Linked DNA regions of Oryctolagus cuniculus. The protein of the gene in region 1 interacts with the protein of each later gene in a pairwise test. Links are inferred from orthologs where the notes say so. Each region holds a gene or a part of one and is shown on either strand. Other genes may lie near its edges.

Region 1 (4,692 bases):
ATATAAGGCAAAGTTGCTGGAGCCATACCTCAAAACTTAGAAGTTGTGACAGACTTGAGAAATCTGAAGACAGAAGGAGTCTGATACAAGGGCATGTTGGCTGTCTCAAGTCAGTGCACAACCCAAAAATTAATGTCTCTATTCTGAAGGGACTTCAGAGGGTCCAGAGAGACTTTCTGGGTTTTCAATGGGATTTTGTGAAAGACTTAGTCCACTCTAGAACAGAACTATTTCCATCTCCCTAGAACAAAACTCCCCCATCATTCTACTCTCTACACTTAATATGCTGAACCAGAACCATATCAATAATGTATACGAGCAAACAAACTTCATTTACTACTTAGCTCCAAATATTGTATGGTACTCTAATTTTATAAATATACTATGAAATAAAAATTGCCAGTATCTTGGCCTTGAAGACACTTTTTATAACAATAAATGGTGTGGCTGGGTCATTCTATTCATGATGGCTAAGAGATTAACACTCCGTGACTATGAGATCCTTTAACCTATGCAGTTACAAATAACAAATTAAGTAATTTTATCTGTCTTATCACTCATTTTCTAGCCTTGTGCCTGGCAAAATGCAAGCTCTTCATCAGTGTTAGTTGAATAAATCTATGAATAAGTTTTTTTAAAAGAACATGAGTTAAAAGACAAGAATTAGTTTTCAAATAGAAGATCATTTCAACTAAACGTTGCTTGAAAATGCAAGCACTCCAGCAACTTAAACTCTTGTCAACCTAACACAATTCTACAAAACATGTAAAAGTTTAATGGCAGGATAGATAAAATTACAACAGACAACCTTTAGATAGTCCTGACAATGTTAGAAGAGACCTGTAGAGGTCAACTCATCCAATACAAGGCTTGCTTTATAAAACCTAGTCTAGTCTAGCATACTGCAAATGCCTCCGAAAAGATCTACTTCCGTGCCCCTTCTCCACCAGCAGCTGACAGACACTTCTCAATGGGTAAATCACATCACGCTGCTCTCCACTGCTAAGTTCTTGAAGGCTCCCACCTGCAGACTCCATGATGTGGCTCTTGCCTGATCTCAGTTCACAGCTCATTCCCTCCTGCCACTTAGGGACTTGTCTTTTTCAAGCCAGGGCCTCTGCCTAGCTCTTTCAGTTCAACTCTATTCATTCTTCCTCCCCAAGGCTCCCAGCTTAATCTATGTGGTCAGTGCTTCAAATGTCAAAAGCACACATCTCTTCAGAGAGGCCCCCTCTTTTACACCTTCCTTCACCCCATTTATTTTCTTCATAATACAGGTGCCAGTTCTTAACTACTTATTTGCTTGGGTTTTAAGCCTTGTTCCTCAGCAGACTGCAAGACAGCTGTACAAACACAGCCAACTTGTCTTCATTTTCCTCTCCAAGATCCAAAATAAACAGGGGGCACTCTATAGTTAGCAATCGACTGATGGATGGCCACCCAAACCCTGAAACCTCCAGTGATGGCAGACTTGCCAAATAATAAAACCACTAACCTCAATTTTTCTTTTTCCGGAACAAAAAAAAAATCTCTGTTCTGGTTTTAAATTTCCTGCTAAAAACCAGCTAAAATCAGAGCCAAACCCTTGAACTTGGTCTGGACTGGAGGTTAACCTGGTTCTCGACCTTCTTCCCCTCCTGAACCCCTCTGATAAGTCTTTTTCAGGTTAGTACAAGCTCTGTCCTCAAGAAAACAGCACGTCCCCATATGGCAATAAAACTTTTGAGAAGTTTTCACCCCCTGCCCCCAAGACCCTCACAGACCCCCGACTAAGGAACTCTAAACTGGACAACAGGGATGGAGTCAATGCAATTTTTGAGAACTGACGTGTTCAAAACCTATCGGAAGGAAGACTACAGTACAACTTCTGGGGGAGAACGAGGACATGCCAGATGCTTTTGGACTTACTCACTTAGGAAGATGCACATGGAATTAGTAAACCTCTAAATCTAGAAGACACTTGGGAGATCATCGTCCGAAAACCGAAGCCCTCCCCCCCCACCACCACCAAAAAAATAAATAATAAGAGGCGCGTCCAAGGTCACTCATTTGATTGTGCTCAAGTTAGGACAAGAAAGCCGATCTCGGTCCCCCACCTGGGGTTCCTTCCACTTCAGTCTCGCTAGAATCTTAACGAGGAGTGCCCAGAGAGCCAGGGCTCAGAGGGTTGGGAAGGAGCGGGAAGCAGAGGAAAGACCAGCAAGAGAGGGAAAGAGCAGGCTACAGCAGGGAAGAGACACTCTTCCCACTCGCCGGGAAGCTTGCAACACAGACGGCCGACAGCCCCACTCGCAGCGCTCACCTGTCCGGGGCCCAAAGGCGGGTGGTGCGGTCTCGGGACACCGACACAAAGGCCCCCGGCGGATAGAGGCAGCACACCAGGCCCCGCACGTCCAGCTCATGACCCGGGAGCGAGCAGCTCAGCCGGTACCTGGCAGCGCCGCTAGCCATGGCCAGGGTCTTTCCGGCGCCCGGATCCCGGGCACCGCGCGAGATCAGTCCGCAGCGGAGACTCGGCGTGCTCCAAGCGGCGGCGGGAGACGAGCCTGCAGGTGAGGGGCGCCTGGGGACCGGAAGAGCCCAAGAGCCGGTGCGGAAGGGCGGCGGGGAAGGGGCGCGCCGAGCGGGCCGAGTGACACAGCAACCCACACTTGCACACCGGAATTCATCATCCGCCCCAGCCCGCCATGACGCAGAGCGTGTGCGTCCGGGCTGCCGAGGCCGGCGGGCAGCTAGGGTTCTGTCCCCTCTCGCGCTCGAGGCAGCCCTAAGACGAAGGGGTAAGGACGGCCGGCTGTTTTGACCCCGCCCTCGGGTCCTTTCCAAACTCTGACCCTTTCCTCGTCCCCGCCAAACTGTTTGTTGTAATTCTGCAAGCAGGCGGGGACTACGAGTCCCACAATGCCGCGCGCCAGTGGGGCGTGAGCAGCCAGTGCGCAGAATCTGGATTTTTCAAATCTGGGTCCGCGGAGCTGCGCGCTGTGGGGTCAACGGGGTGGAGTTGCTTGTTGACTTCTTTTGCGGCGTCCATACCAATTTTCCTCAAACCGCCTCTGCAGTCTACTGACATTTTAAACAAGCGGTTTTCCTCCCTCCCCACCCCCCATTAAAACTAGAGACCAGGAAATTGGGGCCGCTTAATAGTTTGCCTTGGTTTCAAATTACTAGTCTCTTTGCCCCCTACCATCAAAGTTAGCAAATAAGTAAGATAGTCCAGTTGTACTCTTTGAAAGTACGCCTACTTCCGGTAGTTTGTTGAAGTGCAGATTCTGATTCGGTAGGTCCGGCTGAGGCCGAACGTAGCTCATGCAGTTTTGACAAACCCCAGGTGATGCTGCTTGTCGTCATCCGTCTACAATGACTGCAAGGGTTTACAAGACCTGTTCTACTTCCAGCTGCTCCCCCCTTGCATCTAGTTCCACTTCACAACCCTTATAAATTAATTACAGTTTGCGCTTTTCTGACTTCTCCCTACTGGAAACGCCCACTTCAGGTTTGGAATCACCACTCCTCCTTTTCTTTCTCCAACAGCCCTGAATACCTCTCCCTGAGGAGACTATTTACCACTTTGCTTTTCTTCTAAAGCTCTATCCCTCAGAATGACATATCCAAATTTCAGATCTGTATTTCCAGCTGTTAGAAATCTTAACCTAGGGGCCGGCACTGTGGCGTAGTGGTAAAGCCTCCGCTTGCAGTGCCAGCATCCCATATCTGCACCGGTTCATGTCCCGGCTGCTCCTCTTCCCATACAGCTCTCTGCTGTGGCCTGGGAAAGCATTAGGAGATAGTCCAAGGCTTTGGGCCCCTGCACCCACCTAGGGGGACCAGGAGGAGGCTCCTAGCTCCTAGCTTTGGGTAGGCCCAATTCCAGCCCTTGCAGCCACTTGGGTAGTGAATCTGCCTGGAAAGACTTCTCTTTTTGCCTCTACCTCTCTGTAACTCTGCCTTTCAAATAAATAAATCACTTTTTTAAAGGATGACGCAAGGATAGGGTGGGTACTATCATTGTAACCTAGAATGTCACGTTCTTTACCTGTCAAATTTCAATACTGGTTTATCATGTGTATCCGTCTAGTTCCTCTCTGGAACCAATACAATTTTTTATTTTCAAATAAATAAATCTTATTTTTTTAAAGATTTTATTTATTTATTTGAAAGGCAGAACTAGAGAGAGGTATAGGCAGAGACAGAGAGAGAGAGACAGAGAGGTCTTTCATCCACGGTTCACTCACCAGATGGCCGCAACAGCCAGAACTGTGTCCATCCAAAGCCAGGAGCCAGAAGGCAGGAGCTTCTTCTGGGTCTCCCACGCGGGTACAGGGGCCCAAAGATTTGGGCCATCTTCTACTGCTTTTCTAGGCCATATCAGGGAGCTGGATCAGAAGTGGAGCAGCTGGGACTCGAACTAGCGCCAGTGGAGGATGGCCCAAATCCTTGGGCCCCTGCACCCATGTGGGAGACCCAGATAAAGCTCCTGGCTCCTGGCTTCAGATTGGCTCAGCTCTGGCCATTGCAGCCATCTAGTGAGTGAACCAGTAGATGGAAAACCCTTTCTCTCTCTCTCTCTCTCTCTCTCTCTCTCTCTCTCTCTATTTCTACCTACCTCTGTCTATAACTCTCTTTCAAATAAATTAAATAGGTCTTTTATAAAAAAAAAACACTGTATTTGAGTTATACAAGTTTCAGATATTT
Region 2 (4,692 bases), about 180 Mb from region 1:
CCCTCAACATCTCCCCACGTAACCTTCCTGACAGCTAATCAGACCCAGAGATTAGAAACTACCCATGAGGAAGAGGATCTACTCCATTGCCTTCTGTTCAGCTTCTTCCTCTGCTTGAGTTTCCTCCCTCCCAACAATTCAGGAAGGAGTCAGGCATATAGAGAACTCAGCGGGTCTATTTATTAGCGGGAGATGTCAGTGCTTTATCAAAGATGAAAAGATCAGAGAAGAACGGTGGGAGAAAGGCCTCAGCTGGGACATTTCTTGGCCACAATGAGGACAGCAGAAGGCACGAGTCCTGAAGATGAAAGAAAATAGGCTTGAACCACACACAAGGATACTTGTTTGCTCCCAAAATTTCCAGTTGCACCTACCACCCAGCATCTGCAGAGTCCCTTCTCTTCCCAGGCATGTCCTCCATTCCCCCACATCCTGGTTTGTGGTCCTGCATGACGTACCCAGCTCCTGCAGAGGCCGTTCCATGTCAGCCTCTGAGAAGGCCCGCCTGGGGAAGCCACTGAGCAACTGCACAGGGTCCTGGCCTCCTCCAGGTTCCTCCCCGCGGTGGAGCTCCACATAGAGTCTCACAGCTGCCAGCTGTTCCCGGGCCCGGAAGGTCTGGGTCAGTGAGGTCCCATCTGGCAGCCTGACCTAGAAGGCAAAGGAGGCAGCCTGAGGGAGGGAGCTGACATTGCAGAGCGGGGTTAAGCCCCGGCCTATGATGCCGGATTCCCATATGAGTCCTGGCTGCTCCATTTCTGGTCCAACTCCCTGCTAGTGTGTCTGGGAAAGCAGGGAAGATGACCAAAGTCATTGGGCCCCTGCCACCCATGTCGGAGACCTGCTTGGAGTTCCAGGCTCCTGACTTCGGCCTGGCCCAGCCCTGGCCATTGTGGCCATTTGGGGAGTGAACCAGCAGATGGAAGACTTCTAATTCTCCCTTTCAAATAAATAAAAATCTTTTTAAAAAATGCCCAAGGAAAAGAACAGCTAAAAAGCTACCCCCACTTCCTCTTAAAGAGACTAAACTAGCACAACTACTATTTAAAGCACCTAAAAAAACCACTTATGCTCTGCTTTACTGTTAAAAAGAGAGACTCCTCTCATACCAATCAGATGTCCATTTGTTATTGTGTTTGTTAACAACCTTTTATCTCTTAGTGTTATAAACTCCACTTAAAACTGATTAAAGTCTCATTCTTGTCAAAAAAAATAAAAATAAAAAAAGAGAGACTCCTGGATCCCTCAAAATCTAAGACAAGGACAGAAACATTTGGATAAATATCATGTCACAAAAATACCTGTGTAATAAACCAAATGAAACATGGACAAGTAAAAGGTGAACTGCTGAGTAAGAGGGAGGTATGGGTTTAAATAAGACTGGAGCAGGTGAAATTTGATCCTTTCCTAAGAGTAGAGGAGGTAGTATTTCAAAAGTCATTTACAAAGAAGGAAGAGACCTGGCAAAGGGAACAAGACTGAAAAAAGCTCTGAACGGGCACCCTAAAGCCCTGAAAAAGGGGTCCCAGGAAGAAGACGGGACTCAGAATCAGTACCTGGATGCGACACTGGTCGTACTCGCGCTTGCTGGGGGGCTCCTGGCTGGGAGAGGAGGGAACAGGACCTGGCTCTGTCGCTGGTGGGGTTGGCTGCGAACCCACGCTGCCACCATACTGAAGGACAAAATCGAACACTGTCAGGCAGGCACTCACCCTCAGGAGGAAGGGCTCACAAAAGGGCGGTTCACTAACCCGCCTACGGCACCACCCCCAGTGTCTCGCCAACACCGACCTTCTTGGCTCTCTCCGCTTTGTCTCTCTCAATCTTCTCACGAACCCTCTGTCTGGAATGCAGACAGGGAGGAAGGTCAGACACCAGCCAAGCAAACCGCGAGTCGCCCCCAGCCCCCAGCCCCCCGCCCCAGACCTGGCTGCCAACTCCTCGGCCTTCTCCCGCCTCCGCTCCTCCGCGGCGCGGCGCATCTCGCCCTCCTGCAGCCGCTGTCGGGCCGCTGACAGCTCCTGCCCCTGCCGCCGGCGCTGCCGCTCCCGTTCCAAGGCTTCCCGCTCCTCTCGTTCTTCCCGCTCGCGCTGCTTCTGGGCCACCAGCTCCATCATCCTGAGGGAAGAGGGCACGCCGGGGGAAGGTAGGTTTACAGCAAGGGGCCGAGGAACGCGTGTCCCGGGGCAGGTCAGGGAGGCGCGGAGAGAAACTCAACATGGTTCCCCACCAACCCACCTCTTCGTCTGTTCCTGCCTCTCCTCCTCACTCAGCGCGGGTTTGCCTTCGCCAGCAGCAGACCCAGGGCCTACAAACGAGCAACCCGTGTTATTCCGCGTGCAGGCTCTCCTCGGGTGCCCGCGGGTAATTACACCACGTCCCCCCAGTCGGGACCTGCGGCGCCACTTTGCTCCAAGGAGGTGGGTTCCCGTCCCAGAACATGTCCGAGCGGGGCCTGCAGAGGCTCGTCCACATCGGGGTCGTCTTCGTGCTCCATCAACCTGGCCGGGGGAGTCGGCAGGGAGCTCAGCGTCCAGGCTGCCGCTCCCGACAGCCCCCAACCCTCGGGCCCCTGGCCTGAGCGCTCACCAGTCCATCGCCGCTTCGATACCCTGGTTCCCTGTGAGGGCCAGAGCCTTCTCCCTGGAGGGAGAAACAGCGTGAGTAGCGCCTACGAGCCATAGTGACGGCCAGGCTCGGGGAAAGGCCGGGACCGGTCCGCGCGGATCGGGGCGAGGAGGCTCCCTTACGCGCGTCCCCTGGGGAAGCCCATCTCGATGAGGCTCTCCAGAGCCGTCAGCTCCGCCATGGCGCCGCCGCCGCCGCCGCTTCCGCGGGGACCTGGTGTGCCGACAGGGAGGCCGGGAACGGTCAGCGCAGGGCGACCCCGCCTCTGACGCCCCCGGCCGGGCGCTCCCTCACCCACCGGCTCCGGACCCGCCGGGACACCGACGATAAGAAAGCCGAGAGGGAAACGGAAGTGCACGAAACTGTTTGGGTCACGTGGGACGGACGTGGACGGGTGCCGCCAGGAGCCACAAAGCTCCCGGGTCCGGCTGCCTGGACCTCGCGCGGGCGGGGCCGGCAGCGGCGCAGAGTCCGCGGATCCGAGCCGACGCGTCGAGCCCTGGCGCCCCGCGGCGGTGGGCGGAGGCAAGCGGGCCCCCCAGCTTCGCACCCTTCACCCTCCTCGCAGATTACCAGGATCACGGCCCCTTAGCCGATCCCGTTGGAAAGTAGTTTGGCCGAGTGTATCAGGAGCCGTAGAAGTGTGCGCGCTCTTCAGCCCGCTCGTCTTCCCCCGGGGCAGGGAGCCATCCTCTGCCCTACCGCCGAAGGGCCTTTTGCGAAAACACAGTGTGTCTGATCCTGTCATCGCTTTTCTGCTTCGGACTTCTCCGTGTCGCGCAAAACTGAAACACCCGCGGCCTTCTGCCCCGCTGTCTGGTAAAGTGGAGACAGCACTCACACCTGCCCTAGACGGTGTGACTTCAGTGCTGGTAGTTAAACCCGCGCAGCTTCATCCCCAGCCACCTCAGGGTGACCTGCGCATATTGCAAAACAGGCCCTAGCCCTCCTCGCGGTCATTTTCCAGGATCCAGAGTCTGCTTCCTAACCCAAGCCTGCGTGCCCCCCCCCCCCCGAAGCTTCAGTGTCTGCCTCATTCGTTATTCACCCCTCCGCTGTGTGCTCACTGATAACCTAGTACCCCGTCACTGCCAAGGCTGTTAGATCCAGCGAGGTGAAGCACTTTGGTTTTTAGGGAGCAGGCACTTGGCCTAACTAAGTTCAAGTCCTGGCTCTGCTTCCATTCCAGTTTCCTGCTACTGCACACGCTGGTAGGCAGCAGGTGACGGCTCAGGTACATGTGCCAGTCATACATGAGACCCAGATGGAGTTCCCAGCTCCTGACTTCAGCTGGCCCAGCCATAGCAATTATGGGCATTTGGATGGGAACCAGCAGACGGGAGACCTCTGTCTGACTCTGTTTCTCAAATAAGTAAAATAAATGACAATTTTAAAAAATATTTAAAAAGTGAAATTTTCTTTTTCTTTTCTTTTTTTTTCTTTTTTTTTTTTTTTTTTTTTTGCAAGATTTTTTATTTACTTGAAAGGCAGAGCGATGGAGAAAGAGAGAGATGCAATGGGAAGTGACTCTAATGGGGCCAGCGAATTCACAGAGGGCCTGACTTTGTGTGCAGAGAGTTAAGCACTGTTGCTATCACGGATCAGAGCACCTGACTTGCTGGCCTCTGTGTTTCTGATCCAGTTCCCTGCTAATGCACCTGGGAAAGCAGCAGAAGAGCTAAAACATTAAATACAAGCCAGCACCACGGCTCACTAGGCTAATCCTCCGCTTTGCGGTGCCGGCACACCAGGTTCTAGTCCCGGTTGGCGTGCCAGATTCTGTCCCAGTTGCCCCTCTTCCAGGCCAGCTCTCTGCTGTGGCCAGGGAGTGCAGTGGAGGATGGCCCAAGTACTTGGGCCCTGCACCCCATGGGAGACCAGGAGAAGCACCTGGCTCCTGGCTTCGGATCAGCACAGTGTGCTGGCCACAGCAGCCATTGGAGGGTGAACCAATGGCAAAAGGAAGACCTTTCTCTCTGTCTCTCTCTCACTGTCCACTCTGCCTGTCAAAAAAAAAAATATATTAAATACAAACTTATTGAAGGAAAAAGTGATGCTTGAGGC

Evidence for each region.
Region 2: the proteins of PLAA (region 1) and UBXN1 interact in binary tests that used the Homo sapiens proteins (3 or more experiments, as listed by UniProt). The two-hybrid records come from large-scale screens. The link is inferred for Oryctolagus cuniculus from reciprocal best matches to the Homo sapiens genes PLAA and UBXN1.

The regions. Positions count from the first base shown.
Region 1 is NC_091432.1:190,206,490-190,211,181, forward strand, and holds the start of PLAA (phospholipase A-2-activating protein), read right to left. Parts: upstream 2,894-4,692; 5' UTR 2,452-2,893; coding exon 2,303-2,451; intron 1-2,302. UniProt on the Homo sapiens protein: Plays a role in protein ubiquitination, sorting and degradation through its association with VCP. Involved in ubiquitin-mediated membrane proteins trafficking to late endosomes in an ESCRT-dependent manner, and hence plays a role in synaptic vesicle recycling.
Region 2 is NC_091432.1:8,888,098-8,892,789, reverse strand, and holds UBXN1 (UBX domain-containing protein 1), read right to left. Parts: upstream 3,017-4,692; 5' UTR 2,810-3,016; coding exon 2,751-2,809; intron 2,644-2,750; coding exon 2,590-2,643; intron 2,502-2,589; coding exon 2,395-2,501; intron 2,309-2,394; coding exon 2,239-2,308; intron 2,119-2,238; coding exon 1,927-2,118; intron 1,844-1,926; coding exon 1,792-1,843; intron 1,674-1,791; coding exon 1,557-1,673; intron 652-1,556; coding exon 459-651; intron 299-458; coding exon 249-298; 3' UTR 159-248; downstream 1-158.